2 linked regions of the Elephas maximus indicus genome follow. The protein of the gene in region 1 interacts with the protein of each later gene in a biochemical or structural test. Links are inferred from orthologs where the notes say so. Each region holds a gene or a part of one and is shown in the gene's direction. Other genes may lie near its edges. The genes, in order: SYTL4 and RAB27A.

The links.
Region 2: the proteins of SYTL4 (region 1) and RAB27A form a complex in vitro, tested with the Homo sapiens proteins (2 studies listed by BioGRID). The link is inferred for Elephas maximus indicus from reciprocal best matches to the Homo sapiens genes SYTL4 and RAB27A.

The regions. Positions count from the first base shown.
Region 1 is NC_064846.1:57,576,795-57,592,724, forward strand, and holds the start of SYTL4 (synaptotagmin-like protein 4), read left to right. Parts: upstream 1-8,407; 5' UTR 8,408-8,536; intron 8,537-9,034; 5' UTR 9,035-9,118; intron 9,119-15,930. UniProt on the Homo sapiens protein: Modulates exocytosis of dense-core granules and secretion of hormones in the pancreas and the pituitary. Interacts with vesicles containing negatively charged phospholipids in a Ca(2+)-independent manner.
Region 2 is NC_064831.1:45,761,242-45,777,762, reverse strand, and holds the start of RAB27A (ras-related protein Rab-27A), read left to right. Parts: upstream 1-9,207; 5' UTR 9,208-9,296; intron 9,297-16,521. UniProt on the Homo sapiens protein: Small GTPase which cycles between active GTP-bound and inactive GDP-bound states. In its active state, binds to a variety of effector proteins to regulate homeostasis of late endocytic pathway, including endosomal positioning, maturation and secretion.

The DNA.
Region 1 (15,930 bases):
AGAACGAAACACTGCCCAGTCCTGCGACATAATCACAATTGTTGCTATATTTGAGCCCATTGTTGCAGCCACTTTATCAATCCATCTTGTTGAGGGTCTTCTTCTTTTTCTCTGACTAATTTACCAAACATGATGTCCTTATCCAGGGACTGGTCCTTCCTGATAACATGTCCAAAGTATGCGAGACAAAGTCTCGCCATCCTCGCTTCTAAGGAACATTCTGGCTGTATTTCTTTGTTCTTCTGGCAATCGCTGGTATTTAATATTCTTCGCCAATACCATAATTCAAATGCATCAATTCTTCTTCAGTCCTCCTTATTCATTGTCCAGCTTTCGCATGCATATTAGGTGATTGAAAATACCATGGCTTGGATCAGGTGCACCTCGAGTGACATCCTTGCTTTTTAATATTTTAAAGAGGTCTTTTGCAGCAGATTTGCCCGATGCAATACATCGTTTGATTTCTTGACTGCTGCTTCCATGGGTGCTGATTGTGGATCCAAGTAAAATGAAATCATTGACAACATCAGTCTTTTCTCCGTTTATCATGATGTTGCTTATTGGTCCAGTTGTGAGGACTTTTGTTTATGTTGAGGTGTAATCCCTACTGAAGGCTGTGGTCTTTGATCTTCATCAGTAAGTGCTTCAAGTCCTCTTCACTTTCAGCAGGCAAGGTTGTGTCATCTGTGTATCACAGGTTGTTAATGAGTCTTCCTCCAATCCTGATGCTGTGTTCTTTTTCACATAGTCCAGCTTCTTGGATATTTGTTCAGCATACAGATTGAATAAGTATGGTGAAAGAATACAACCCTGATGCACACCTTTCCTGATTTTAAACCACACAGTATCACCTTGTTCTGTTTGAACAACTGCCTCTTGGTCTATGTACAGGTTCCTCATGAGTACAATTAAGTGTTCTGGAATTCCCATTCTTTGCAATGTTATCCATAATTTGTTATGATCCACACAGACAAATGCCTTCATACAGTCATTAAAACATCTTTATGGTATTCTCTGCTTTCAGTCAAGATCCATCTGACATCAGCAATGATATCCCTCATTCCACATCCTCTTCTGAATGTGGCTTGAATTTCTGGCAGTTCCTTGACAATGTGCCGCTGCAAGCATGTTTTTAATTATCTTCAGCAAAATTTTACTTGTGTGTGATATTAATGATATTGTTTGATAATTTCTACATTTGGTCGTATCACCTTTCTTTGGAATGGGCACAAATATGGATCTCTTCCAGTCAGTTGGCCAAGTAGCTGTCTTTCAAATTTCTTGGCATAGATGAGTGAGCGCTTCCAGCACTGGATCCATGTCTCAAAACATCTTAATTGGTATTCCATCAATTCCTGGAGCCTTGTTTTTCACTGATGTCTTCAGTGCAGCTTGGACTTCTTCCTTTAGTGCCATCTTTTCTTGATCACAAGCTACCTCCTGAAATGGTTGTACATCAACCCATTCTTTTTGGTATGGTGATTCTATGTATTCCTTCCATCTTCTTTTGATGCTTCCTGCATTGATCAACATTTTGCCCAGAGAATCCTTCAATATTGCAACTCAAGGCTTGAATTTTTTCTTTAGTTCTTTCAGCTTGAGAAATGCTGAGCGTGTTCTTCCCTTTTGGTTTTCTAACTCCAGTACTCTGCACATCTCATTATAACACTTTTCTTTGCGTTCTGGGGCCAAGCTTTGAAATCTTCTGTTCAGCTGTTTTACTTCATCATTTCTTCCTTTCGCTTCAGCTATTCGACATTTAAGAGCAGCTTTCAGAGTCTCTTCTGACATCCATTTTGGTCTTTTCTTTCTTTCCTGTTTTTTTAATGGCCTCTTGCTTTCTTCATGTACGATGTCTTCAATGTCATTCCATAACTTGCCTGGTCTTTGGTCATTAGTGTTCAACATACCAAATCTATTCTTGAGATGGTCTTAAAATTCAGGCAGGATATTCTCAAGGTAGTACTTTGGCTCTCTTGGTCTTGTTTTAATTTTCTTCAGCTTCAACTTGAACTTGCATATGAGCAATTGATGGTCCGTTTTGCAGTCAGCCCCTGGCCTTGTTCTGACTAATGGTATTGAGCTTCTCCATTGACTCTTTCCACAGATGTAGTTGATTTGATTCTTGTATATCACATCCAACCAGGTCCACATGTATAGTCACTGTTTATGTTGTTGGAAAAAAGTATTTCCAATGAATAGGTCATCGGTCTTGCAAAATTCTATCATGCAGTCTCCAGCATTGTTTCTATCACAAAAGCCATATTTTCCACTACTGGTTCTTGTTCTTTGTTTCCAGCTTTTGCATTCCAATCATCAGTAATTATCAATGCATCTTGATTGCATGTTTGGTCAATTTCAGACTGCAGAAGCTGGTAAAAATCTTTAATTTCTTCATCTTTGACATTAGTCATTGGTGGGTAAATTTGAATAAGAGTAGTATTAACTGGTTTTCCTTGTAAGCGTATGGACATTATCCTATCACTGACAACATTGTACTTCAGCATAGATCTTGAAATGTTCTTTTTGACAATGAATGCAACACCATTCCTCTTCGAATTGTCATTCCTTGCATAGTACAACATATGATGATTGTCTAATTCAAAATGACCAGTATCAGTCCATTTCAGGTCACTAATGCCTAGGATATCTATCTTTAAGCATTCCATTTCATTTTTGACAGCTTCCAACTTTCCTAGATTCATTCTTCGTGTGTTGCACGTTCCTATTGTTAATGAGTGTTTGCAGCTGTTTCTTCTCATTTGGAGTCATGCCACATCAGCAAATGAAGGTCCTGAAAGTGTGACTCCATCATTAAGGTAGACTCTAATATGATGAGGCAGCTCTTCCCTGGTCCTATTTTGAGTGCCTTCCAACCTGAGGGGCTATCTTCCAGCACTATATGAGACAATGTTCTGCTGCTATTCATAAAGTTTTCACTGGCCTATTTTTTTAGAAGTAAATCGCCAGGCCCTTCTTCCTAGTCTGTCTTAGTCTGGAAGCTCCACTGAAACCTGTCCTGTTAGAAATACCGGTGGCATAGCTTCCAGCATCACAGCAACATGCAAGCTAACACAGTACAACAAAATGATAGGTAAGTGATGGGCATTATTCATGATAGCCAAAATGTTGACACAACCAAAATATCCATGAACTGATGAATGTATACACAAAATATGGCATATCCATAAACGAGTATTATTTAGTCACAAAAATGAAAAAAAAAGTAACATCACGAAAAATGGCAGAGTAGGGAACTTCAAAGAAACCCTGGTGGTGTAGTGGTTAAGCCCTTGGCTGGTAACCAAAAGGTCGGGGGTTTGAATCCACCAGTAGCTCTGTGGGAGAAAGGTTTTGCAGTCTGCTTCCATAAAGATTACAGTCTTGGAAACCCTATGGGGAAGTTCTCCTCTGTCCTATAGCGTAGCTATGAGTCGGAATCGACTTGATGGCAACAGGTTTTTTTTTTTTTTCTCCTCGAATGGCTGTCATTAGCTACTGGATAAAATACAAATTGTTTCAGATGACTCACAGGCCTCTGAAGATGTAGCCCCTGACGATCTTTCTAGCCTCAGCAATCATCACTTTTTTTGTTAAATTTTATTCTCTGGCTACACCTTATACATCCTTTGCATATACCAGTGTTTCTAGCCTTTTTCCTCTTGCTTATGCTATTATTCTGCTTAGAATGCCTTTCCTCCTTTTTGTCCTAGCTAATTTCTAATCATCCTTCCAGATTTAGAGAAGCATCCTCTTGCAGAGACCCTTCACTGACCCACCAGACTGCCATAAGTGGTCATCCTAGGTGCGCCCACACAGTCTGTGCATCTCTCTAGCTTTGCACTTCCCACAAGGTTCTGTAATTTTATGTTTGTGGTTTTCCTCCACCCCCATAAACTGTGAGCTCCTTGAGGACAAGGATCACCAAAAGCCCAGTGCCTAGTACCATATACTTTGTACTAGTAGATGCTCAATACCTATCTTTGAATGAGTGACCTTTTTTCAGTGTTTGTTCATCTTCTATCACATCTTCTTCTTATTAAAAAAAAAAAGAAAAACAAGCCCATTGCCATCAAGTTTGTTCTGACTCATAGCAACCCTATAGGACAGAGTAGAACTACCCCATAGGGTTTCTAAGGAGTGGCTGGTGTATTCGAACTTCTGACCTTTTGGTTAGCAGCCAAGCTCTTAACCACTGTGCCACCAGGGGTCCTCTTCCTCCTACAGCGACTCTACCCAATAGATGCCAGGAGCAACACCCCCAGCACTCCCAGTTGTGACAACCAAAAACATTTCCAGACATTTGGTATTGCCAAATGTCCTGGATTAAGAACCACTGGTCAAGATATACTAAGCATTCATTATATGCAAAGCATTTTAGTAGGTGCTCTTCCTATAGCACCTACTAAAATGCTTTGCATATAACAGGACTGGGCAGTGTTTTGTTCTGTTGTGCATAGGGTCACTGTGGGTCAAAACCAACTTGACAGCACCTAACAAGTATATCTTGACCAATGATTCTTAATCCAGGATACTTGGAAATATCTGGAGACATTTTTGTTTGTCACAACTGGGAGTGCTGGGAGTGTTGCTACTGTCATCCAGTGGGTAAAGGCCAAGGATTGTGCTAAACATCCCATGATGCACAGGACACAGCCCCCACAATAATGATTTGGTTTAAAATGTCAATAGTGCAGAGGTTGAGAAATTGTGATTTTGACTGACTGAGAGACTGAATCTACTTTTTACATCCTGTACTCACTGTAGATCACTAGTGCACTAAATTTGCTTTGTGAGGAAACCTGCTTTTATTTTTGTTTTGTTTTTACAAAAGCAAACTTACCTAACATGAGGTAAAGAGGGAGGGCCCCTGTATCTGGGATTTAAGACTTTGTCAATTAAAAAAGTATCTGATCAACAGAAAAACAGTTACATAAATTGCAATATGTTTATGCCCTGGAATGGTCTACAGCAGTGAAAATGAATAAATTAGAACTACATATATCAACATGGATAAATCTCATAAGCATAACGCTGAGTGAAAAAAGCAAATATCAGAAGCTACATACTATTTATATAAAGTGTTTAAAAACTACATTTTTTTTTTTACTTAGTGATAGACAAATATGTAGTAAATGTATAAAGACATGCATGGAAATGATGAAGGCCAGATCTGGGATGGTGAAAGCCTCAGATGGAGGATGCAAGAGGCTTAAATTGTATTGATATTGCCTTGTTTCTTAAGCTGGGTAGTGAGCGTGTCCTTGTTATAGTATTCTTTATAGATCCATGTATTTTTTGAAATAGTTAACACTTTTTTTTTTTTAAAAAAGTAATTGTTCAATAATGAGGCATCTTGTCAGCTAGGGCTGTGGAAAATCTCCGTCTTATTAGTTTGCACTAGCTAGAACTCCTTCAACGTGGCAAAATCGAACAACTCATTGAAACCAATCATTCACTATGGAACAGGAGTTTACATACTATACATAAGATGATAATCCATAAATTCCTGCTTACATTTTTGTACAAGGTAGTACCTGAGTTTGGTCACATTGGATCCCTCACAATATTTAGTATAAGAATTTGAGCATAGAATCCTTGTGACAGAGGAGGAGGATCAAACTGGGCAACAGTATGCAGAGCACAGAATGCATGTAAACCAGCCATTTCCTAACTTTGTTTTGGTTCATTGTTTCTGTTTGTCTCTCTCTGTGTATTTGTAACTGAGTCAGTGAGATTGTCTTAGAGAAGAGGCCAACCTTGGAGAGTGGGACACTGCATATGTAGAAAGAAGTAAAAGCTTAAAATAATATCTGGAAATTTTGCAATTTGCTGAGGAATAAGGAGGTTGGACTACGTGTTTTCTGAAGTCCCTTCTGGTTGAGGGTGTTACCAGCTTCCCTCAAGCACCCCAGGTGAAGTAGGAACAGAGAAATGCTTGGTCTGAGTTCCCACAGCCCAGGGCAAGACAAGAGCCTGGAACTTCCTCCCCTCCTTCCCGGTTTGGGACATGGAACACATTAAAAGCCCAGGGCTGAGCAAATGGGCCCCAAGGGCTGAATTGGCAAAACTAGACAGACAAAAAAAAAAAAAAAGGATTTGCTTTTTGAAATGGCTCTTCTACACTTCAGGCTGGGGGCAGGGAATTGAAGGGCTAAAGTAGGGAAGAGAACTCCAGGTAGAGCCTGGGAGTGGAATTCTACTCTTTAGTCTTTTAAAAATTAAAAATTTTCTTTTCTTTCTCTTTATAATATTAAAAAAATTATTTTTTCATATTATCAAAGCCATACAAGCTCATTATAAAAAACTTGAAAAATATATAGAAGCAGGAGGAAAACTAAAAATTCATTCAATTCCACCACCTAGAGACAGCCACTGTTAATATTTTGGCATATTTCCTACTAGTCTTTTTTTCTATGCATATCATCTTCCTCATTTTTGTTAATTGTTGTGATCATCTTATATATTAAATTTTGTATCTTACTTTCAATTAATATTATAGTATATGCATTTCCCTGTCATTGTGCACTATGTATAAAATGAGTTGTTTTTTTTTTTTGCTATATAGTATTGCGCTGTATGAAAATACTGTAATTAACTTAACTATTAAACCATTGGAGCCCTGGTGGCGTAGTGGTTAAGAGCTTTGGATGCTACCCAAAAGGTCGGCAGTTCAAATCCACCAGCTGCTCCTTGGAAACCCTATGGGGCAGTTCTACTCTGTCCTATAGGGTCGCTATGAGTTGGAATCAACTCCACAGCAATGGGTAGGTAGGTATTAAACCCTTAGGTTTTTTCCTAGTATTTTATTATTCTAAGGAATGCTGGGATTAACATCATTGTACAAAAATCTTGTGTACGTCTCTGTTTCCTTGGGACACATTCATTCATTCATTAAACAAATATTTATTGAGGGCCTACTATGAGCCAGGTAGTATACTAGCTGTCAGGTTTCGGCCTTGAGTGGCATGTTTTCATTAAGTGAGATAGCAAACGTCGGAGAAAGAGCAAATATAATAGAGAAGATGGTGGATTCAGTTTTGGATGTATTGACTTTGAGGTGCCTGCAAGACATCCAAGTGGAGGTGTCAAGAAAGCAGAGGTCAGTGAAGAGGTCTATGTAGAACAATATGATTACAGCTGTGGCCGTGTATATATTAATTAAAGCTAAGTGAGTGAAAAGATCATTTAGGGAGAGAGTATATGTAGCCTGAGAACCTCCAACTTTTAGAGGTCAGATAGCAGAAGTGGAACCTACAAAGGAGACTGAGGAGGGGACAAAGGGGTAGGACGTAAGGCAAAGGCGTATGGGGTCATAGATGCTACAGGAAGAGTTTCAAGGAGGAGGGAATGGTTAACAGTGTTAAATGCCATGGAGAGGTCAGCAAGACAAGGCCTGAAAGTACCCTATTGGTTGGATATCTTTTGCTGCACAGTTTCAGCAGAGTGTTGGGGAAGGAAGCCAGATTGCTGAGGGTTGAGAAATGAATGAGAAGGGAATGGAAATAGCAAATGTACCTGTAAAGTACATTTTCAATAAATTTGCGTATGAAAAGGAGCTGGAGAGTAGGAAGGATATTTTATTTTTTAAGATGGCAGAGACTTGAACACTGTGTAATTGCTGATGACAGATGAGAGAGACTTGAGCATTTAAGTGACTTAAGAGAGGGAAGGATGGAGGAGAGGAGATAGGGAGGGAGAGGAGGAGAATGAGAGAGAGAGAGTGAAATCTACAATTACTGGGTAGATAGGAACATTTTAAAGTCTACTGATATATATTGCTCCCGTGCTTTATTTTCTAAGTTTTTTTTTACTAACCTACACTCCAACCAGCAAGTATGAGAGACCTTGTTTGGTGGCCACTTTGTCATCATTAAGTGTTAAAATAGCAATAATATAAACCTTTGCCAAAGAATCTCATTTTTGTTCTTATTTGATTACTAGTGAGTTTAATATTTTAACCAGTTGTGTCCGTGTGTGTGAGTGTGAATTTCGTCTATGTTCTTTGCCCAACACGTTTGTATTTTAACCACTGTTACTTACCATAAAAGGCCGAAAGTCAAAGGATCAGAATGGTGTCACATTTTATCCTCCCGAATTATATAGTCCAGAGTCTTCGTATTCTTGGAAGTACGCGACAATTTGACAACTTTGGCTCAGCTGAGCGGAAGAGGTAGATGATTTTACCATCTAAGAAAGTGATCACAGATGTCTAATCTTAGACCCCTGTCCTCAGTCTCAAGGTCTTTTTTCCTAGCCTGGGAGGACACACTCTACAAGTGTCTTAAGACTCTGGCTCCCCAAGCTCCCCTTTAGGGGAGCGGTCCCCTACTTAGGAGCCCGGAGCGCTGTGCGGCCCCTTTAAGAGTGCAGCTCCTCCCCGCTCCAGGGAAAGTTGCAGCTTTTTCCGCCTCCCTGGAGGGTGAGAAGGGCCGGCCGCAAGAGCGGGGTGGCAATCTTCCAGGAGCTGGAGACCCTCCCCTGAATCCAGCACTGGGACGTCTCGCCTTCTCGCGGCACCTGTTGCAGGTGACAGGTAGGTCCGCAGCCAGCGGCCCTGAGCCCTCGGTCCGGTGCTCCTTCTGGGCCCCCAGCCCCTATTCGCTGCCAAAGCGTCCCCCCACCCCCATCTCAGGGACCTGCGTCCTTCCCTATCCCCCTTTGCTTCTCCCTGTCTATACTTGCCCCTAGCAGACCGCCTGTCTCCTCTCCCCTGTCCGCCCCTCCGGACCGCTCCCCCCACACGTTGAGTCCGATCTGCTTGGGGCGATCCCCTCCCACGAGTTTTTTTTTTTTCTCCCAGGCCTGTTCTGGTCCCCTTCCCCTGGCCCACCCGTCGCTAACGCGTGCTGTTGCCCTCTGGGCTCTGCCTCCTGGGGGTCTCCGCTCCCACCGAGTGTCCCAGCTTTTCCCGCCCGCCGGAGCCGGTGCCCCTCCCGCAAGCAAGCCTTAGGGGCGGGGGTAGGGCTGAGCTCCTAGCGGGAGCGGCGCCCTCGGAGGCGTCGAGTCACCCTTCCGTCGGTTCCTCCCGCAGCGCTCGGCCGTCTCTGCCCTACCCTGACTCCGGACCGCGGACCTCGCGGCGTCGGCTGCCCTCGCCTCGGCTTGTCCTCCGCAGGTAAAGGCTGGAGGCCAGTTGGCCCCGAGTCCTGCCTTAGTGGGCTCCCTCTGCGCTTGGGGCTGGGGACCCGGGCTGTGTGCTCTGGAGCCCAAGTGCTTTATCTTGCCAATCTTCAAGCAGGTTTCAGGAGTTTGCTCCTGGAGAAACGTTCCAGAGCCCTCAGAGTGGGACACAGAACGTTTCTGTCTCCTGTGATGGTTTGTAATGGGGCAGAAAAGGTGTTCCTCCAGTCCTTCACTTTGAATGAGATGGTTGGGAGTTTTTTGGTGGTGAAATCATTTGGTTTGAACGCTGGTGGCTTAAAAAGGCACCTGCTTTTCATTAACCAACCTTTTCTTTTTCTCCCTGCTTCTTCTGGACCAGAGGACCTAGCATTCCAGAATACTGCTTTTGGCAGGGTTGACCCTAGACCTTGTACATTTGTGGCAGAACTTAGTCTTCAGTATATCCTGGATCTCCTATATTTAACTGGCTTCTTTTCTGCTCTTGCACCCCTCACAAATCCATTAACATTAAGGCATTAATGATCTAATTTGTTTACCCCGATGATCTGTGGCTAGAGCAATGTTTAATGCAGAGGTGAGGCCCAGATGCAGTGTATGTAGATCTATAAGTACATGTATTTAGCACCAGCTGGAAATCTTAGTATATAAAAAAAAAAAAACACCAACTTGGCTTGTGAGGCTTTTCTTGGGCAGAGGATGAACATTTCTGGTAATACCATTTCAGGTGCCTCACTCCAGAACAGATGAGTGAAATGGAGGTTAGATGCCTCTTCTGGAGTAATTGGTCTGTGAGTGTATGTAGCATTCTGGTGAATGTTCTCTGAGTTTTTTCTCCTTAAAGGCTGTTACTAATAATGGTTGTTAGAATTCATTGAGCCAGGCACTGTGATAAGTTCTTTACATAACTATCTCATATAATCCTCAAGATAACTCTATGTGGTAGGCACTATAATTATAACCATATTATGATGAAAAGAAGACTCTGAGAGCTTGAGTACCTTGCCCCAAATCACCCAGCTGATGAGGGGCTGAGCTGGGCCATCTGACCACAGAGTTTGTGTTCCTATCCTCTGTCATACCACCTCTACCATCTTAGATGTTAGGAATGCTAATAGCTCGTGGGTGAAGACTGTGACTAAAAATTTTCCTTCCACACTGAAGCATAAATTTTGGTCCTTAACTTACCTTAGATACACTGTGGTGATTCTGGACCACTTATTTCACTGATTTATTTACCCACCTTGCTCCAAATGTGGGACCACTTGTCATGTTGCCACCATAAGCACACACCCCTGAGTGTACCCAGATGAATGAAACCTCCCAGGCTCTCAGCTCAGTAGTGATTGTCCTGAAGATAGGAGAAGGTAACCCTGGATTCTAGGGATGTGCTCCTGGATCAACATTTTCCTTTCCTGCTGGCGAGGGGAGAAACAAGGGTGCGGTAGGTGATAAGAACTTCCCAACAGCCAGGCCAGAGAGCCTGAGGGAGACTGTGTGCTTGTTTTATCCTGGGATGAATAGGTTACCTTAGGCAGGGAGCCCTGGTCCTGGTGCAGTGGTTAAGAGCTGTGGCTGATAACCAAAAGGTTGGTAGTTTGAATCCATCAGCTGCTCCTTGGAAACCCTATGGGCCAGTTCTACTCTGTCCTATAGGATCCGTCTATGAGTCAGAATCGACTTGATGGGTATGGTTAAAAAAAAAAAGCAGGGATAATATGATCCCATCTCTGGGTCTTTGCTCACATTGTTCCTTTTTTTTTTCTTCTTCCTGAAAAGCTAGCACGCCACCCCTTACTTACACCCAGTCATTAATTTGTATTCATCTCTCAAGATTTAGCTTCTCTGGAGGTTAGGGTTAGGCTTATCTAAAGTCACCTCCTTTGATACAATTTCACTGAACACCCAGGCAGAATTACTAGTTATGTCCTTCATGGTTCATGGTATATATGGTGTATCACCCACTTTTTCCGGCTTTCAGGTTCTTTGGTTGTATACTTTTACTGCTAAAAGTATTTGCTGCCCTCCAGTGGGGACTTGCATAATGGAGAAAGATGAAAGAAATGTTAGTTGAAGCAAAATAGCTGGGGTATGAGGCTTCTGAGTTAGGTAGTGCAATCAGGAAGTATGATTGGGTAAAAATTTTATCCCTTTTGGCTTTTGTACCCCTAGATAAGCCTTGTAAAAATTTTTATGGTTTCCTGTGTGATAGGGAGCCCTGATGGGTTTTGGTTTTTTTTTTTTTTGCTTGTGTGTGTGTCATATTTGGAAAACCGGAAACCCTGGTGTCATAGTGGTTAGGTGCTACAACTGCTAACCAAAGGGTTGGTAGTTCAAATCCACCAAAAATGTAAACACACTCCACGACTCAACATGGAGCCCTGGTGGCACAGTGGTTAAGAGCTCAGGCTGCTAACCAAAAGGTCAGCAGTTCGAATCCACCAGCCACTCCATGGAAACCATATGGGGCAGTTCTCCTCTGTCCTGTATGGTCACTATGAGTCAGAACCAAGTAGCCAGCAACAGGTTTGGTTTTTTGTTTTATGACTCAGCATGCTTCCATTAATGAAAACACATGGTATCAAAAAAACAGAAAGTAATTGGACCTTGAAAGGGTTTTTCTGTGTCCTAAAGCACTTTGTTTACACCTCAGTGGAGTCCTTAACACCTCTCCTAGTTGTTTTTTCACCTGAAAGGTTGTTACTTCTTTAAGGGCAAGGTCTGGATCTCAGAGCTCAATTTGTCCTAAGCACAAGGGATTAACAAATGTTTGTGCTAGGAACTGGGGACACAGTGCCCTAAAGGACCTGAGATCTGGTAAACTACAAAAGACACCTTCCTGAGGCACTTAAAATCCTGCAGCTAAGCGTTTGTACTTAAATGTCACCTTCTCAGTGAGACCTTTGCTGTTTTTAAAATTGCAACCCCTTCCGTGAACATTCGAGATCTCCCTTCCCTACCTTATTACTCTAATGTAGCATACTGTGTGTATTTTATTCATTTTTCTTATTGTCTGTCTCCTCCCACTATCACATAAACTTCATGTGGGCAGGGATTTCTGTCTGTTTTATTCACTGGTAGATCCCAGCACCCAGAAGACAGCCTGACACATCATAAAAAAAAAATTTTCTTTAGGTACTTACTAATATTTGTTAAATGAATTAATGAATGACATTACTGTTATATGAATTGGCACTCTTTTGTACTCTCCTGGACCTGAAACTAAGCTTACCCAGTTTATCGCCCTACAGCTGTGAGGGTACCCCACACCCAGTTCTCACATAGCTTTCCTTCTGTTGAGTTTTACTTTGAGATTGCATTCCTGATGACCACTTTGACCTAGTTGGCAGCGCTTCCTCTCTCCTATTTTAAAGCATAGGTCTCTGGTGGAAACTTCGAAAAGTGAAAATGCTGTGCTTCTCGACTCAACGGCACTGGGTCTTGTTGGTAGGAAGGGGTCTGTGCTGAAGCGGGCAGTGTGGATTATCAGATGTCTTGAGGCCTTTCACAGGCATTTGGTTTCTCAGTAGGATGCTGGAGAAAAGTTACTGTGTGGTCTGGGAAGTGAATAGCTGAAAAGACTCTAAAAACCAAAAAACCAAGACCGTTGCCTTTGAGTCGATTTTAACTCACAGTGACCCCAAGTGTTATAGAATAACATTGCTCCGTAGGGTTTTCTTGTCTGTCATCTTTACAGAAGCAGATTGCCAGGCCTTTCTTCCATGGCACTGCTGGGTGGGTTTGAGCTACCAATCTTTTGGTTAGCAGACATCACAAACTACTTGTGCCACCCAGGGACCTTATAAGATGCCACAGATTAGGTTTCTTGCCTCCCAATAAAGTCACTCTTACACCTTTAGGCATGAAGTGGTTATTGGGTTATGAACTTTACAGAAAAGCCATAGCTGAATGAATGCTACTTGTTTAGTTTGACAGTTTTTGTACTAGGATAATTACGCCGTGTGAGGAAACTACTAAGTAACATAAAAGAAAAAAAAATTACTCTTTTCTGTTTAAATGTTTTTAAATATTCAGAAAGAAAAAAGGCCCCAAACCAAACCAAACCAAACCAGCTGCTGTGGAGTTGATTCTGACTCATGGTGACCTCATGTGTGTCAGAGTAGAACTGCACTCTATAGGCTGTGTGTGTGTGTGTGTGTGCGCGCGTGTGCGTGCACGCGCGCACCTGCACTTTAGGTGAAAGTTTACAGAGCAAATTAGTTTCTCACTCAAAAAATTTATACACAAATTCTTTCGTGACATTGGTTGACATCTCCACAGTGTGTCAGCACTCTCCCCCTTTCTACCCCGGGTTCCCTGTTTCCATTTGTCCAGTTTTCGTGTCCCTTCCTGCCATCTCATCTTTGCTTTTGGGCAGGTGTTGTCCGTTTGGTTTCATAGACTTGATTGATCTAAGGAGCACGTTCCTCACCTGTGTTATTGTTTGTTTTCTAGGCCTCTCTAATCTTTGACAGAAAGGTGAACTCTGGGAGTGGCTTCAGTTCTGAGTTAGAAGGGTGTCTGGGGTCCCTAGTCTCAGGGGTTCCTAGTCTCAGGGGTTCCTCCAGTCTCTCTCAGACCAGTAAATCGGGTCTTTTTTGTGAATTCTGTTGTACATTTTTCTCCCGCTTTGTCCGGACCCTTTATTGTGATCACAGTCAGAGCAGTTGATGGTGGTAGGCAGGTTCCATAGGGTTTTCAAGGCTGTGACCTTTTGGAAGCAGACCACCAGGCCTTTCTTCTGAGGCACCTCTGGGTGGGTTCAAACCACCAATCTTGAATGGTTAGTAGCTGAGCACTTAACCATTCATGCCACCCAGGGACTACCCCCCACCAAAAAAAAAAAAAAGAAAAAAACCAGGCCAGAATCCCTCAAAAGACAGGCTTGGAAGGAGTTGGACCCTTCCTAAGGTGGTAAATATATGATTCTCCACCATTTGATAAACATTAATGTTTTTGAAATTTGAATTTGTTAAAAAACAAACAACAACAACAAAATTGTGCTTGGTTTCCTCTTCTGATAAATTTATCTCCCAAATTTGTTTAAAAAACAAACAACAACAACAAAATTCTGCTTAGTTTCGTCTTCTGATAAATTTTTCTCCTCTAAACATTGGAGTGACCCAGGGGTCTCAGTCTGTAGATTCTTCTCCATCCAAAATCTTCCCAGAGGATCTCATCCAGCTCCATGGCTTTAAATGATGTCTATCTATACACTGATCACTCCAAAATTTATGTCTCTAACCTAGGCCTTTTCTCTAAGTCCTAGACATATATCCAATAGCCTAGTCAGCATCTCTACTTGGATGCCAAATAGAGATCTCAAACATAATATAACTGAAACAGAACTCCTGATTCCCCCCCTGTCACTAGTCCCTCCCTTCATCCTCTCCCATCTCAGTGAAACGGCACTATCATCCATTCAGTTGCTCAGTCCAAGGACTGAGGGTCACCCTTGGTTTCTCTTATTCTCCCAACCCCACATCCAGTTCATCAGGAAGTGCTGTCAACATTATCTTCAAAATATATCATTTATTCTGCCACATGTCTCCATTTCCTCTGCATATCACCCACTCCAAGCAACCACAAGGCTGCAATGAACATTCTTGCACAGTGCTCAAGGATACACACACACACAAAAACACACACACACACACGTTTCTGTGGTATAGCTCCCTAGAAGGAGAAGTTCTCAGTGAAGGGATATGTACTTTTAAAAATTTGAGTAGGCACCGCCAGAGTGACACCCAAAAGAGTTTACACTCTCACCACTGAGAGTGCTTTCCCTCATATCCTTGCTGATGATGGACAGTCTTTTCAATTTTTGCCAACCTGATCGGTGAAAAATTGTATTTAACTGATTTACCCTTCATTTCTCTGACCATTAGTGAGGCTGAGCATCTTTTCATGTGTATTAGCTGTTTGTATTGTTCCTGAGACTTGCTCCTTCATATCCTTTGCACATTTTTCTTTTGGGTTATGTATTTAATTTGTTTGTAAGAACACTATATTTATTAGAGATGTTTACCTATTGCCTTTTCTATAGTACAAGTTTTTTTCTCTCTCTCTCCAGTCTGTCATGTGTCATAACTTTGTTCATGATGTGTACCCCTCTCATAATCAGATAAAACACACTATAAAACATTTAAAAAACATGATCATTAGATTTGGCAATTAGGAGGTCAGTGACAACATCAGTGCAGCAGGAGGAGACAAGGCAGATTGTAGAGGGGTGGAGAGTGATGAGGACCATTAGGGAATATGGTATACACTTTGAAAGAGGCTTGGCTATGGTGAGGAGAGAGTGTTTCTTATAGACAGTAGGGCGCAGGGGGCCAGAAAAGGTTGCTGTTGTTGTAAAATATAGGAGAGAGAAGAGCCCATTTATGTCTAGATGGTGGAGAGCTTGATGACGCAAAGTCCCCAGGGAAGCAGGAGGGGTGAAAAGTCTGGCCTTAGAGAAAGGGAGGTAGCTCTTCCACTGAGCTGGGAGAGAAAGAGGGCAGGATCTGTGAAGTTGCTGAGAACAAAGGAGCTGTGGAGGGGCAGGATTTTGGGGAAGTCCCACCTGACAATAGTAGTGAAGGATTGGAATGGTATTTGAGATGGATGAAAAAGGAGCTCTTTAAACGTATAGCATTTAGATAACCCCCTTATAATGAGCCACAAAAGGCCTGGATAACTTGATTTGTCTTGACTCCAGCTTACAGAACCCTGTATCCATTCTCTCCAGCAGCACTCATCAGCTCAGTTGTAGAAACAGAATGTGGACCATCTAGTTTAGGGGATTTTTCTAGGTGGCTGTGA
Region 2 (16,521 bases), on another chromosome or scaffold:
GATCTTAAGTAATATTTTGTTTCCTAAAACCAAAAAACCTGTGACCATCGAGTCAGTTTCCACTCACTGCGACCCCGTAGGGCAGAGTACAACTGCCCCATTGGGTTTCCAAGGCTGTAATCTACGGAAGCAGACTGCCACATCTTTCTCCTGTGGAGTGACGGGGGGGTTCAAACTGCCAATCTTTCGGTTAGCAGATGAGTGTTTAACCACTGTGCCACCAGGGCTCCTTTCGTTTCATAGTCAGGGTTTATTTTTCTGAGAACATAGCGTATGCAGTTTCATGGGTGACAATCTAGGTATATGTAAAAGAGCAGGGAATGGTATTTATGATAGTGTTTGTAGATGAGGTGAACTAAGTTGACTACCTCAGATAGAAAGCCTCTCAATTAGCATATAGTTAGTCTGGTTTAATATATGTCAAGGTCCCTGGGTAGCACAAGTGGTTTGTGATTGGCTGCTAACCTAAAGGTTGGCAGTTTGAGCCCACACAGTGCATGTTGAAGAAAGACTTGGTGATATCCTTCTGTAAAAATTACAGCCAAAAAAACCCCGTGGAGCTGTTCCATTCCTTGACATGGGGTCACTGTGAGTCAGAATTGACTTGATGGCTACCGGTAATATACTTCAGTCGTCTTTTTCTCCCCGAGTGTTTTCTCAGCCTGAGTAGAATGGAGTAGTTGAGAATTGGGGTAGCTCAGATCAAGTTGAGTTTTAGAAAGGGTAGATTGCTTGGCAAATAAGACACAAATCTGTTTAACCTACTAAGGAAATTTGCATTAATAATTGTGGTAAGGAAAGAGTTAATATGTTATGAAACTATTCATATAGTTAAAGTATTTTTTGAAATTGCTAGGACCGATACTACTTTTAGCCCTATCAATGAGAGCTTTAAATGTAATCACATATGTGCAAAAGGCTTTATGTAATTCAGGAAATTTTTTATTATCGATGTTCTTTTTCTTTAAAGGTAAATTCATTATAACTTAATTTCAGCTATCTATGTTAAGTGGAGACCAGCATGGGTAATTTAAAAAAAGAAACGGACAAGGTGACGATTATCTTTATATATATTGATATAGCAGTTTTGTATGAGCTTTTGAGACTTTTTTCTGTACACATGAAAAATGTATCTACCATGTGATTTTTTTTTTTTTTTTTACCATGTGATAGGCCTGGCTTTGCTTGGCTACGGGTAAACTGGGATTCTGCTCTGTTTCTTTTCATCCTGAGTCCTAGGCTGAAGGATCAGCTCCTGTTTAGGGTATGAAAGAAGCACATACCCAAGAGAAATGAAACTCTGTGTCCACACAAAAACTTGAACATGAATGTTCATTGCAGCATTATCCATAATAGCCACAAGGTGAAAACAACCCAAATGTCCATCAACAGATGAATGGATAAACAAAATGTGGTATATACACATAATGGACACTCTTTTCTCAGACTCCTTTTTGGACTTCCCCTGTCCATGCCTTAAATGCTGGGTGTTCTCTGGGTTCTGTACTGTGCCCCTTCTTTGTACTCTAGTATACTTTGTAGACTAGCTCATCAATCCTGTTACCCGATTAGGGTCCGTGCCCTGGAGCAGTTGAGCCAGTGAAAGGTACTCCGAGTCAGGGTGAGAAAGTTTACCAAGGGGATGTACACGTCACTGGGGACCAGCAGCAACACAGGCTGTCTCTGGAGTCCCAAAGAGCAGTTTTACATTAGAGCTTATATAGAATTTTACAAGGGTTAGAAGTGTCTGTAGTCAGCAGATGGCGTGGCCAGAGGAGTTATTCATTACAAGATAGTGACAAAAGACTATCAGACTAAAGAGACACGTGCTAGACATCTCTTAATCAGGCTAAAGATACACATATCAGACACCTGGGCTTTTATTTCCCTGTGAGGGGTTGTAAGTCAGGTGGTCGGACAGAACAAAGTTATTTGCATCAGATTAAAACAGAACAAAGTAGTTAACAGAAGTATGTGAAGGAGGAGGCAGGCAGAGGAAAGAGAAAAATTGATAGGTTCATCATGGCTTTAGTTATGTCAAGCACTCAGTTGCACATTTTGAAAAGGAGAAAACACTCTGGGGAGTATCAGGGTCTCAACTCTCACATCTACTCTTTGGATATTAGCTCCAGCACCTGTCTTCCATTCTTAAGGTCAGCCTATTCCACTGCATACTGTGATGTTCTGCTGGTGCTGGGGAGTCAAACTTTAAATGTTCTAAACTGAATTCGTTATGTCATATTTCACCCTTCCTACTTGTTGCAACTGGGTTTTCTTCCTGTTGCTCAGTGGTTCATAGTTGCCCACACCAGAAACCTGGGCATCTCCAGGGTCTCCTCCTTCTCCCTCACCCCCTACAGCCAAGTCCTCTTGACTCACTTTCTAAATGGTTCTGTCCATTCATCTCCATCCTCACAGCCACTACCTTAACCAGGTCTTTATTTTCCCTTGCTTGGATTTCAGCATACCCATTCTTAGCCTTATAACCACTAAGAAAATATGTTCCAAGTTCTAGTCATGGCTCTGTCACTTTTTAACTGTATGATCTTGGTCAGTTGTTTCATGGCTTTAATACTCAGTTTCCTCATCTGTGATACGGAGAGAATAGTACCTACTTTATAGGGCAGTTGTGAGAAGTAAATGAGGTTATGCATGCAAAATTCTTTGCATATTGGCTGACTCATCATAAGTCATCAATAAACATTAGCAATTATTTCTCTGGAGTTCTTTATAACTCAGACCCTACTTATTTTTCCAATTTCTTCTCTGATTACTTCCTTCCAATAAATTTTTCAGCTTTTTAGAACTTCTTTCAGTTGCTTCAATGTCTCATGCTTTCTCTTCCTAGAGTTCTTCACCCTCTCATCCTATTCATCCTTATTAATTTGTACATCGCCTTCTCTGGGAGGTCTTGATTTGGTGTCACCTCTTCGAGTTCCAGTAACACTTTAACTTTCCTTTTCAGGGCCCTAGGAGTTCTGGGTGGCACAGATGGTTAAGTACTTGACCACTAGCTGAAAGACTGACAATTTGAACCCAGCCAGAGGTGCCTTGGAAGACAGGCCTGCTGATCTGCGTCCAAAAGTTCACAGCCTTTAAAACCCTACGGAGCAGTTTTACTCTGCACGTCTGGGGTCGCCATGAGTTGGAATCCATGGCACGTAACAACAATCAGGGTCCTTATCTTACTGGAGTTGCCTGCTTACATGTTGATCTTCTACTGTATGACTGTAAGCTCCCTGAGGGCAACGACCAGTTTACCTTGTTCACTATTGCATCCCTAGTACCTAACACAGTGCCTGTATTATTGAATGAATGAGTGATGAATGGACTGCAGCATCACTGCCCATTTTCTGAAATCCTGTCTGGTTGACTCCTGGCCACAAGCCTTGCCTTGCTAGGGTGGTGGTGGGGGAGTGGCTGTCCCTGTATCACATCAGCCATTGGCAATTACTATATTGTTGGTCCCTCAGACCTTAGCTCTCAGTGACTCTCAGATCTCTTCCTCTAGACAGGAACGTGGTTACTCCTGTTAACCTCCACAAACAATGTGATGACTCTTCTCACACAGAAAACAGCCCTTGAAACCATCACCCTATGATGAATCCTGTTCTCTCTAACCCTAAGATCACTATTACGTTTGTCTGTAATACTGACAGTTTTACATGATCCATGCTATGTGTGAGGGGCCAGTCCCTGGAAAAGGACACCATGCTTGGTAAAGTGGGTCAGTGAAAGAGAGGAAGACCCTCAACGAGATGGATTGATGCAATATCTGCAACAATGAACTCAAGCACAGCAAAGATAATGAGGATGTCGCAGGAAGAGTATTTCTTTCTGTGGTACGCTGTTAGGTGGTGTCGAGTCGGTTCCGACTCATTGCGACCCTGTGCACAACAGAGTGAAACACTGCCAGTTCCTGCACCATCCTCACAATTATTGTTATGCTTGAGCTCGTTGTTGAAGCCAATGTGTCAGTCCACCTCACTGAGGGTCTTCCTCTTACCTGCTGACCCTGTACTCTGCCAAGCATGATGTCCCTCTCCAGGGACCGATCCCTCCTGACAACATGTCCAAAGTATGTAAGATGCAGTCTTGCCATCTTCGCTTCTAAGGAGCATTCTGGTTGCACTTCTTCCAAGACAGATTTGTTCATCCTTTTGGCAGTCCATGGTATATTCAATATTTTTTGCCAGCGCCACAATTCAAAGGCATCAATTCTCCTTCGATCTTCCTTATTCATTGCTCGGCTTTCCCATGCATATGATGCGATTAAAAATACCATGGCTTGGGTCAGGTGCACCTTAGTCTTCAAGGTGACATCTTTGCTTTTTAACACTTCCAAGAGGTCCTTTGCAGCAGATTTACCCAATGCAGTGCATCCTTTGCTTGCTTGACTGCTGCTTCCATGGCTGCAGTTGCCTGTTTTGAAAAGGAGAAAACATGCTGGGGAGTATTAGGGTCACAACTCTCAATCTACCCTTTGGGTATTAGACATAGGGTCACTATAAGTCGGAACAAACTCAACAGTACCTAACAACAGTAAATATGAGATTTGGTAAATTGGGTACATATCTGAGAAAATAGCACTTCCATAATGGGAACTGAGTAACTGTCGACCCAGAAGAACGATAGGTTTGGAATTTGTGGTGGAAGTTGACACATATCAACGGACGTTTTGTAAGAGAAGCTGGACTAAGGCTTCCAACCAATTCGTTTTGCCTATAGGGTTGCTCGGAAACCCTGGTGGTGTAGTGGATAAGCGCTATGGCTGCTAACCAAGAGGTTGGCTGTTCAGATCCACCAGGCACTCCTTGGAAACGTTATAGAGCAGTTCTACTCTGTCCTACTGGGTCGCTATGAGTCGGAATTGACTGCAATGGTTTTTTTTTTTTTTTTTTTTTTTTTAATATGGTCACTGTGAGTCCTGTGTATGTACAGGTTCTTCATGAGCACAATTAAGTGTTCTGGAATTTCCATTCTTTGCAGTATTATCCACAACTTGTTATGATCCACACAGTTGAATGCCTTAGTGTAGTCAATAAGACACAGGTAAACATCTTTCTGGAATTCTCTGCTTTCAGCCAAGATCCATCTGACATCAGCAGTAATATCCCTGGTTTCACATCCTCTTCTGAATCCGGCCTGAATTTCTGGCAGTTCCCTGTCGATATACTGAAAGATCTTCTGCAATATTTTACTTGCATGTGATATTAATGATATTGTTCGATAATTTCTGCATTTGGTTAGATCACCTTTCTTGGGAATAAGCATAAATACGGATCTCTTGAAGTCAGTTGGCCAGGTAGGTGTCCTCCAAATTTCATGGCATAGATGAGTGAGCAGTTTCAGAGCTGCATCTGTTTGTTGAAACTTCTTGATTGGTATTTTGTCAATTCCTGGAGCCCTGTTTTTCACTAATGCCTTCAGTGCAGCTTGGACTTCTTCCTTCAGTACCGTCAGTTCCTGATCACACGCTACCTCGCGAAACGGTTGAACATCGTCCAATTCTTTATACCATCTTCTTTTGATGCTTCCTGTATCGTTAAATATTTTCCCCATAGAATCCTTCACTATTGTAACTCGAGGTTTCAATTTTTTCTTCAGCTCTTTCAGCTTGAGAAATTCCTGGTGTGTTCTTCCCTTTTGGTTTTCTATCTCCAGCTCTTTGCACATGTCATTATAATACTTGACTTTGTCTTCTTGAGCTACCCTTTGAAATCTTCTGTTCACTTCTTTTACTTCATCATTTCTTCCTTTTGCTTTAGCTATTCGACATTCAAGAGCAAGTTTCAGAGTCTCTTACATCTATTCTGGTCTTTTCTTTCTTTCCTGTCTTTTTAATGACCTCTTGCTTTCTTCATGTATGATGTCCTTGCTCAATTTGTCTGGTCTTTGGCCATTAGTGTTCAACACATTGAATCTATTCTTGAAATGGTCTCTAAATTCAGGTGGGATATACTGAAGTTTGTACTTTGGCTCTTGTGGACTTGTTCTAATTTTCTTTAGTTTCAGCTTGAACTTGCATATGAGCAATTGATGGTCTGTTCCACAGTTGGCCCCAGGCCTTGTTCTGACCAGTGATACTGAGTTTTTCCGTCGTCTCTTTCCACAGATGTAGTCAGTTTGATTCCTGTGTATTCCATCTGGTGAGGTCCATGTGTATAGTTGCTGTTTATGTTGGTGAAAGAAGGTATTTGCAGTGAAGAAGTCATTGGTCTTGCAAAATTCTGTCATGCAATCTCCAGCATTATTCCTGTCACCAAAGCCATATCTCCAACTACTGATCCTTCTTCTTTGTTTCCAACTTTCACATTCCAATCGCCAGTAATTATCAATGCATCCTGACTATATGTTTCATCAATTTCAGATTGCACAAGCTGATAAAAATCTTCAATTGCTTCATCTTTGGCCTTAGTGGTTGGTGCGTAAATTTGAATAATAGTTGAATTAACTGGTTTTCCTTGTAGGCATTTGGGTATTATCCTATCACTGACAGTGTTGTACTTCAGGATAGATCTTGAAATGTTCTTTTTAACAGTGAATGCAGCGCCATTTCTCTTCAAATTGTCATTCCTGGCGTAGTAGACTATATGATTGTCTGATTCAAAATGGCCAATACCAGTCCATTTCAGCTCACTAATGCCTAGGATATTAATGTTTATGCGTTCCATTTCATTTTTGACAATTTCCGATTTTCCTAGATTCATACTTCGCACATTCCAGGTTCCGATTATTAATGGATGTTTGCAGCTGTTTCTTCTCATTTTGAGTCGTGCCACATCAGCAAGTGAAGGTCCTGAAAGCTCTACTCCATCCACGTCATTAAGGTCAACTCTACTTTGAGGAGGCAGCTCTTCCCTAGTCATCTTTTGAGTGCCTTCCAACCTGGGGGGCTCATCATCCAGCACTATATCACACAATGTTCTGCTGCTATTCATAAGGTTTTCACTGGCTAATGCTTTTCAGAAGTAGACTGCTGGGTCGTCTTCCTAGTCTGTCTTAGTCTGGAAGCTCAGCTGAAACCTGTCTACCATGGGTGACCCTACTGGTATCTGAATACCGGTGGCATAGCTTTCAGCATCACAGCAACGTGCAAGACCCCACAGTACAGCAAATTGACAGAGATGTGTTTGGACAGAAAAAAGGGATACTGCGTGGTTTAAAGTCAGGAAAGATGTGCGTCAGGATTGTATCCTTTCACCATACCTATTCAATCTGTATGCAGAGGAAATAATCCAAGAAGCTGGACTATATGAAGAAGAACAGGGCATCTGGATTGGTGGAAGACTCATCAACAACCCGCATTATGCAGATGACACAACTTTGCTGAAAGTGAAGAGGACTTGAAGCACTTACTGATCAAGAAAGATTAAAGAGCACAGCCTTCATTATGGATTGCGCCTCAACATAAAGAAAACAAAAATCCTCACAACTGGACCAATAAGCAGCATCATGATAAGTGGCGAAAAGATTGAAGTTGTCAAGGATTTCATTTTGCTTGGATCCACAGTCAACACCCATGGAAGCAGCAGCCAAGAAATCAAACGACACATTGCATTGGGCAAAGCTGCTGCAAAAGACCTCTTTAAAGTGTTGAAAAGCAAAGATGTCACCTTGAAGACTAAGGTGCACCTGACCCAAGCCACGGTATACATCATATGCATGTGAAAGCTTGAGGATGAATAAGGAAGACAGAAGAATTGATGCCTTTAAATACTGAATATACCATAGACTGCCAAAAGGATGAACAAATCTGTCTTGGAAGAAGTACAACCAGAATGCTCCTTAGACGCAAGGATGGTAAGACTGAGTCTTACATACTTTGGACATGTTGTCAGGAGGGATCAGTCCCTGGAGAAGGACATCATGCTTGGTCAGCGAGAAAGAGGAAGACCCTCAAGGAGATGGATTGATACAGTGACTGCAACAATGGGCTCAAGCGTAACAAAGATTGTGGGCGAGGCGCAGGACTGGGCAGTGTTTGCTTCTGTTGTACATAGGGTCGCTATTAGTAGGAACCAAGTGTAAGGCACCTAACAACAGCAACAACATGAATTGGAATCAACCGAGGGCCACAGGTTTGGCTTTGTTTTTAAGAAGGAATTATTTGGTTCAGAGGTGCTTTGCCTGTGAGGCCAGGAGGTGGGCTCAGTAGTCAGTGTTCAGACCTCTGGGCTACTGGAGGAGGAGCTTGGCTTCCTCTGGCTGGGAACCAGGTGGTCTGACCTGCTTCACAGCTACAGGTCTGGGAGGGTGGGGGCCTGCAGGCTCCCCCCCACAAAGGCCGGCACCGAGAGAAAGAAGCCGCTGGGTGGCAGCAAAGGCTCACAGGTTCCTCCTGTGTGCGGAGGCTCTAGGTCTCTTGCTTCTGTAATTGCTCTAACAGTTTTAGAAATTGAGTGGTTTTAGAATCCGAGTTAGATGGTGTGAGGAGAGACCCCGTTAGTTACTTCCTCCTAGAATTATATTTTTTCCTGACAAAATTTTGCTTCGTTATTCCTGTGGCTGTCCCCGGCTTGGGGAAGGCCATACCCAGCCTGAGCCGCGTGGGGAGCTGCAGGGCGGGAGGGACAGTGGCCGGTTGGCACCTCTGGCTACTAGGGTGCTGGCCCCAGCCCGACGCGCTGAAAACACCTAGAAAATGGCTTTGGGGAGGAGTTCCGCGAGAGTCACTGAGTACCTTGTAAATGTCGCCCCTTGTTCTCAAAACCGATCCCTGCCCCGGCTGACCTTGCACGCCTTCCAGAAAAGGTCAGTGGAGACCTGGCTTGGGACAAATGTGGCGAACAGGGTCCTCTCGTGGCTCGTAAGAGGACCCCGAGGTGGAGTCCTTTGCTGCTTCCTCGGCAGAGTGTCCCTGGGCAGGTGCCGCCTGCCCCGCGAGGAGGGCGCGGGCAGAGGACCTTCAGGGGCGGATAACCCGTGAGCGAGGTACCACGGGCTTACGTGTGCGTACTTACTAATCTGTAGTGCACAGCTTCACCTGTTTTTCACCATACCTTTAAAACCCATGTGAAATGGCGCACCTCGGGTTAGTAAGTACGCACACGTAAGCCCCTGTGTACCTCGCTTCCTGTTCCTCCGTCCAGGTCCCTCTCCCGGCCCAGAGTCGGCGGGGTGCCCCCAGAGGTGACGGGAGGAAGCGGGAGGTGGAAGGAAGAGGAGGTCCCGCCCCACCTCGCTCTCCTTTACGGGAAGTGATGTGGGGCCAGACGGAAAATACCCGCCAACTACCCAAAATCGGGGGACGCGGCTGCCGGAGACAGAGGCGCACTGGACGGCGGCCGAGCCAGGTGAGCCAGGTGGGGGCGCTGGGCAGGGAGGCGGGCTTGGGGCTGGAGGCTGTCACCTCTTTTCGCTCCTGGGGATTTGATCCCTCCAGAAAAGTTGCTTTGCGTCTCCCGGGCCAGCGGACAGAGCCCAGCGGTGACCACCGCCGGGGTGGCGGGGGGTCAGCCGGGGCGAGGGCGCAGTCCCAGCTCGGGCGGGGTCTGCGATCGCTTCCAGGTGGGCATCCAGGTGCAAGGGACCCCTGGGGGGTAAGGAAACGTCACCGGTGGGAGAGGAGGAGGTCCAGGTTTTTCCTAACCGCTCACCTTCTTTCTCCTTTTTCTTTTTTCAGTTTAATTATTTAACGTCTTTACACTTTTGTTGGTTGGTAAACGTCGGGGCGGCAAGCTAGCTGGGTGAAGTAGTTGCTCTTTTTCCTGTCAGTCCTGCAGAAAACCCTACCAGGCAGCCAGGCCTTGGGTCTGGACTCACAGTAGGCTGATGTGCTGACAGGTTTCAGTAATTATTGCCAAAGCCTTGTCTGTGTCCCCATAGACCACCGATTAAGCAAAGTAAGGCCCGAAGTGAAGGAAACCTGTGAGTCCTTGACTTCTCCGCCTGTCGGTCCCTGCTGGCCAGCTGGCCCACGTGGCCCCCAAGCTTGTGCTGCAGGAGCCTCTTCTTTACCAGGTGCGGGCTAACAGCTGTTCTTCCTTCCTGGATGAATTGTCACTTGGACTGTGGAAGTTTTAGGGTGGGGGAGGGAGTGAACATATGCCATACTATTATTGCTGACTTATTTTGTTGGTGCTCTACTACTCCTGTTCCTTCTTTTCAGCTCTCCTAAGAATTTGCTGTAGTGGGAAAAGACCCTGATATTAGCCTTAACGCAGTCTGCAAAACAGGATTTCTGCAGATGATTAGAAATGAAGAAGGGCTGTTACTAAAAAGCTTAGAGGACCTGACTGAGCGCCGTTCTTTTCTGTATTTATGTTGCCTGCCTGCTTGTATCCTCCCTCTTCGTATTTTTTCCTTCTTTTTTAACTTTCTGTGGCATGCCTTAGTTTTTAAGTTTGATGAGGTTCTGTTGATCTGTTTTTTTCTTTTGTTACTTGTGCTTTTGGTGGCATATCTAAGAAGCCATTGCCTAATTCAAAGTCAGAAGATTTGCACTATGTTTTCTAGGTGTTTTGTAACTTTAGCTACTACGTTTAAGTCTTTAATCCATTTTGAGTTAATTTTTGCATATGGTGTGAGGTAGGAGTCCAACTTTATTCTGATTCATGTGGCTATCCAGCTGTCCCCTCACCGTTTTGTTGAAAAGGCTGTTTTTTCCTGCATTGTATTGTCTTGGCACCCTTGTCGAGACTCAGTTGAGGGTAAATGTGAGGGTATTTCTGCACTCTCAGTTCTGTTCCTTTGATCCGTGTGCTTATCCTGTGCTGGTAGCACGCTGTCTGGATTGCTCTTGGTTTGTGGTTCATTTTGAACTTGGGAAGTGTGAGTCCTCCAAATTTGCTCTTCTTTTTCAAGATCGTTGTGGCTGTTTTGAATCCCGTGAGTTTCCATATGAATTTAGAACCAGCTTGGCAATTTCTGCTCCCTTGGTTCTAGATCAGATACAGGAATTTTGAAGTAAGTAGCAATCTCTAGGAACTGGACTCTTAATCTTCCCCTCTGTAGTCTGCTTTTCCCTTTGTATTCTCCATCTCAGTAAATGGCAAATTCTCTCTTGCTCAGGCTAAACGTCCTGGACCCATCCTTCATTCCATTCTTTCTGTCATACCCCTCATCTAATCCCTCAGCAAGTCCTATTGCTTCTACCTTGAGGATGTATCTAGAACATAACCATTTCTCACCACTCCCATTGCTTTTATAAAGCTCATGCCATCTCTGTCACCTGGGTAATTATTGCAAGGCTCCTAAAGGGCCTCCCTACTTCCACTCTGGCCACTCTACACTGCAGCCAGACTGAGCCTTTTAATACTTAAATCAGTAATGCCACCCATACTCTGTTCAATATTCTCCAGTAGCTTGTTATCTCAGAGGAGAAAAGCAGTCCTCATCATGGCCAACCCCTCACGTGGTGTGTGGCTCTCTCTGTTTTAACCTTCTGTCACTCTTCCCTCTGCTTACTCTGCTCCACTCACAATGGCTTTCTTGCAGTTCCTTGAGCATGCATTCGCCTCAGGATTTTGCACTTGCTGTTCCCGCTGCCTGGAATGCTGTTCCCTCAAATGCATGGCTTTTTCACTTATTTCATTAAGATCAAAAGTAATTTCTTTGAAGAGGCCTTGGCTATCTGAAACAGCATCACTCTCCCATTACTTTTTGCCGCCTTATCTTGCCTTGTTTTTCTTCCGAATAGAACACTAACTGTCATGAGAAGCACACAGATAGATAGGTGGGTGGGTGGATGGATGAATGATGACAGATAGATAGATCGATAGTACTGTGTATATCCTAATGCTAGAATATAAGCTCCACGAAGGCCAGGAATTCGTCCCTGTGGTGTGGTGTCCCTAGCACTTAGAATGCTTTCTCACACATTGCACTCAATAAATGAATGAAAAGGGAATGGAGGACTGAGAAATGAGGATCACCGTACTGTTTTTTTTCTCACTAGTCCTTCTCACTTTATCTGTAAGAGAAATGGCCTCAGATATGTCAGTGTCTCTGAAGCCTTTCTTCTTCTAGCATCTTATTTCCCCCAAGATAACAGCCTTACGCTCCTTGGAGAGGGAAAGGTCAAATGAGTACAAAGATGAAGGCTTTTTGGTCTTTTTCCTGGTGGCAGCAGGGAGCCCTCTGCTTTGCAGCCTGGGCTGACTGGACAGGGCCGTGCAGCACCCGTCTCTGGTGCTTTGGCCTCTTGTGCTGATCGAGGCAGAGAGTGAGGTTCTTTGAAGTTAAAGGAAATAGAAATTCATTTCTTACTGAATATCTTGCAGTATAGTCATTAATCTTTCTCTGGTTTTTAACAGAAATTGCTAACTCTGAGCCTGATTTCGGCATTTAATTACACACTGCTTTGGACTGTCAACTGTTAGGTATATGTTTGTCCATGGCTAGATTTTAACATTTTGGAGGCAGAACATGACTTCAGCTTATTTTTGAGTCTTATCTTGCAAGAAATCTTGGACAAAATAAGTGTTCAGTAAACTCTGAATGTATCGATAAGTTAATGGGTAAACCTGGAGTTTATTTTCATCGTTGGAAACTTCTAGCACGTATATTTAATTTCTCTTAGTCACTAGCTGCCAGTATCTTGTTATAGTCCACCATCCTGCCACTGACGAAAGGACGGCATTGCTGCAGTTGAGTGTGGTTTCCCACAGCGCTTTCCCAGTGAGAATTAAATTAATTGGCTTAGGGAATATGGTAATTAACTCTCTACGTTATTTTTTATTTATTTTTATTTTATCCTATTTTTTTATTGAACTTTAGGTGAAGGTTTACAGAACAAACTAGTTTCTCATCAGTCAGTACATACGTTGTTGTATGACATTGGTTAAGAACCCCACCACGTGTTAACACTCTCCCTTCTCAACCCGGGGTTCCCTATTACCAGCTTTCCTGTTCCCTCCTACTTTATAGTCCCCACCCCAGGGCTGGTGTTCCCCTTTAGTCTTATTTTGTTCCATGGGCCTGTTCAATCTTTGGCTGAAGGGTAAGCCTCAGGAGTGGCCTCATTACTGAGCTGAAAGGGTGTTCAGGGGCCATACTCTCAGGGTTTCTCCAGTCTCTGTCAGGCCAGCAAGCCTGGTGTTTCTTCCTTAGAATTTTGTTCTGCATTTTTCTCTAGCTCTGTCCGGGACCCTTTCTTGTGATCCCTGTGAGAGCAGTCAGTGGTGGTAGCCGAGCACCATTTAATTATACAGGACTCAGTCTGGTGTAGGCTGTGGTAGTTGTGGTCCATTAGTCCTTTGGACTAATCTTTCCCTTGTGTCTTTAGTTTTCTTCATTCTTCCTTGCTCCCGAAGGGGTGAGACCAGTGGAGTATCCTGGCGGCCACTCATAGGCTTTTAAGACCCCAGGTGTTACTTGCCAAAGTAGAATGTGGAACATTTTCTTTATGAACTCTGTTATATCAGTTGAGCTAGATGTTCCCTGAGACCATGGTCCCCACAGCCCTCAGCCCAGCAATTTGGTCCCTCGGGGAATTTGGATGTGTCTATAAAAAAAAATTTTTTTTTTTTTATGGAGCTACCATGGAAACCCTGGTGGTGTAGTGGTTAAGTGCTACGGCTGCTAACAAAAGGGTCGGCAGTTCGAATCCGCCAGGCGCTCCTTGGAAACTGTATGGGGCAGTTCTATCCTGTCCTATAGGGTCGCTATGAGTCAGAATCGACTCGATGGCACTGGGTTTGGTTTTGGTTTTACAGAGCTACCATGGCCCTGCCTTGTACAGGCTGTGCTGGCTTCCCCTGTATTGTGCACTGTCTTAACCTTCACCAAAATTGCCATTTATCTATTGTTTTTCCATCCCCACCCTTGCCCTCTCTCATAACCATCAAAGATTGCTTCTTTTTGTATATAAACCTTTTCATGAGTTCTTACAGTAATGGTCACATACGATATTTGACCTTTCGTGAATGACTTATTTTACTCAGCATAATGCCCTCCACATTCATCCATGTTATAAGATGCTTCACAGATTCACCACTGTTCTTTATCGTTGTGTAATACTCCATTGTGTATAGGTACCGCAATTTGTTTATCCATTCATCTGTTGATGGGCATCTAGGTTGTTTCCGTCTTTTTGCTTTTGTGAACAGTGCTGCAGTGAACATGGGTGTGCATCTGTCTATTTGTGTGATGACTCTTATTTCTCGAGGATATATTCTTAGGAGTGGGATTGCTAGATCATATGGTATCTATGTTATTTTTTAAACTGAATCTGCCTTCTGATGTTTTTTAAGCTTGTCTTGGAATGTGCCTTATTACAAAATATGAAAGAATTGTTCTTACACATATGTGTGTGTGTAATGTTCTCCTAAGAAATTAATAGGTCTAATTCCTTCTGAAAAATAAAACGGGGTTTGCAGGTTTAAAGTCTGAGCTCCTAAGAAGCAAAATTGTCTTGCCGTTGTTAAAACAAGATGCGTTTCTGAAGAGAGTGGTTCTCCCTCCCGCAGCCTTTGCTTTTTATGACCAGTGCAGGTTTTGCTGGAGCCATGTTTGTTGCTCTGCCTCTTGCTCGGGAGATGTGAGTTTATGATCTGGTTTCCCTTAAGCTGATTACCTTGGGAGTAGCATGAACACTGAGTTGGAGGCAGGGATAAAGGTTTTTAATTCACTTTACGCTCACCGCATGAGGCGTGTGGAATAGTGAGCACCCAGCTTGTCTTGGCCTCACTGTCTGGTCAGGCTGTACTCTCGTGGGCACACCATGTTCACTTTCCCGTACAACTGAGGTCTGGTAACACTCCTGTCTTACCTACTGTCAAGTAAAGTTAGATGCCTAACTTGCTCAAGAGGAATGCTGGAAGATTTATTCCTCTTTTCCTGCTTTTTTTTTTTTTTTGCCTCTGTCTGTGTTACCCTTGAGCCCAAAGAAGGCCTCTCATTTGGTGCCTCAGCCATGCACCACTAAAGTATATGGAACCAGACTTTTTGGCTCTTAAAACTGAACGTTTGATGTGGGGTCAGAGGCAGGGTTGCCAGATTTACCAAATTAAGAAAAAGTTAAATTTGCATTTAGATAAACAGCAAATTTTTTTTTTCACTATTAGTATGTCCCATGCAGTATTTGGGGCATACTTACACTAACAAAATATGCAATATTTGAGACACAATTATGTTAAAAATACTCATCGTTTGAATTGCAAATTTAACTGGACGTCCTGTATTTTATCGGGCAACCCTAGTCGGCGGTCAGGTTTGTGCACAGGAAATGCATTAATTGTGATAACGTCTGAAGAATGACCAAGCATTGTATATTCGTCTCAAGGAAGGAAGGAGAGGACTTGTCAACTCAGGGAGTATTAAAACTAGAAGGAAGTTTGAGAGCATTTAGTTTTATGTCTTTTATAGTTAAGGACATTCACATCCAGAGAGGTTAAGCCACTTGGCCAAAGCCACACAGAGGTGGTGGCAGAGCTAGAACTAGAGCTCCGGGTCCAGTGGTGGGTCTGCTGTGCTGACTTTTCCCTTAGGAGAGCAGGTGCAAGTTGCTTGTGTTTCAGTGTTAACCCTTAGCCACTCCGTTGTCATCCACCTGTGGTCACTTCTGTGCTGTCCTTCGTCCCCCATGTGCCAGACAAAGCCATTCTTGTGAGACACCTTTGGTTTTCCTGACTGCCACGTGGCTGTTGAAAGACACCGTTTGGATGTATTCCTTGTTATGATGCCAGAAGCTTGTAGTTCAATGTGTTTTTACTTGTTTTAAAGTCTTACTAATATTTTAGTTCCTTTTTCAGTTTTTATTACAAGGTTCTTTCTTTAAGTAGACATACCAAGAGTAATTCTACGACAATCGAATGCTGTCTTATCGAAAGCCTGCTTGCTTTGAGCAGCCTAACCAAAAACAAAAAAACAAACCCTTTGCCTGTCAAGTCGATTCCGACTCATAGTGACTGTATAGGACAGACTAGACCTGCCCCATAGGGTTTCCAAGGAGCAGCTGGTGGATTCAAACTGCCGATGTTTTGGTCAGCAGCCAAGCTCTTTAACCACTGTGCCACCAGGGGTCCTTGAACAGTCTACCCCTCTAAAATTCCCTTGTATTTTAATAAGGTAAATATGGAAGATATATGGCAAGTATCAAAATAGATAGGTAGGTATATATGACTTGTCCCTTAGAAATGTGTCCTTTTTAAACACTGGATTGTTTTACTGTAATTATTTTTAAAATTCTATTTATTTTGCTGTTGTTGTTGTTGTAAATATACACATCAAAACATACACCAATTCAACAGTTTCTACATGTCCAATTCCGTGACATTGACTATATTCTTTGATTTGTGCAACCATTCTCACCCTCCTTTTCTGTGTTGTTCCTTCTCCATTAACAGAGGCTTGTTGCCCCCTAACCTTCCATTTGATCTTTCCAGTTGCTGTTGTCCGTTTGATCCCATAAACATAGTTCTTGAAAGAGCATCATTATCAGCTTAAATGAGCAAATATTAAGGCAGACATTCTTTACTAGTTAAGCTAAACTATTGTTTAGTTTTAAGAAAACTTCAGGGGATATTTTTGGTTAAAGCTTTAAAGATTACCTCAGGGCAATAGTTTCAGTTTCATTAT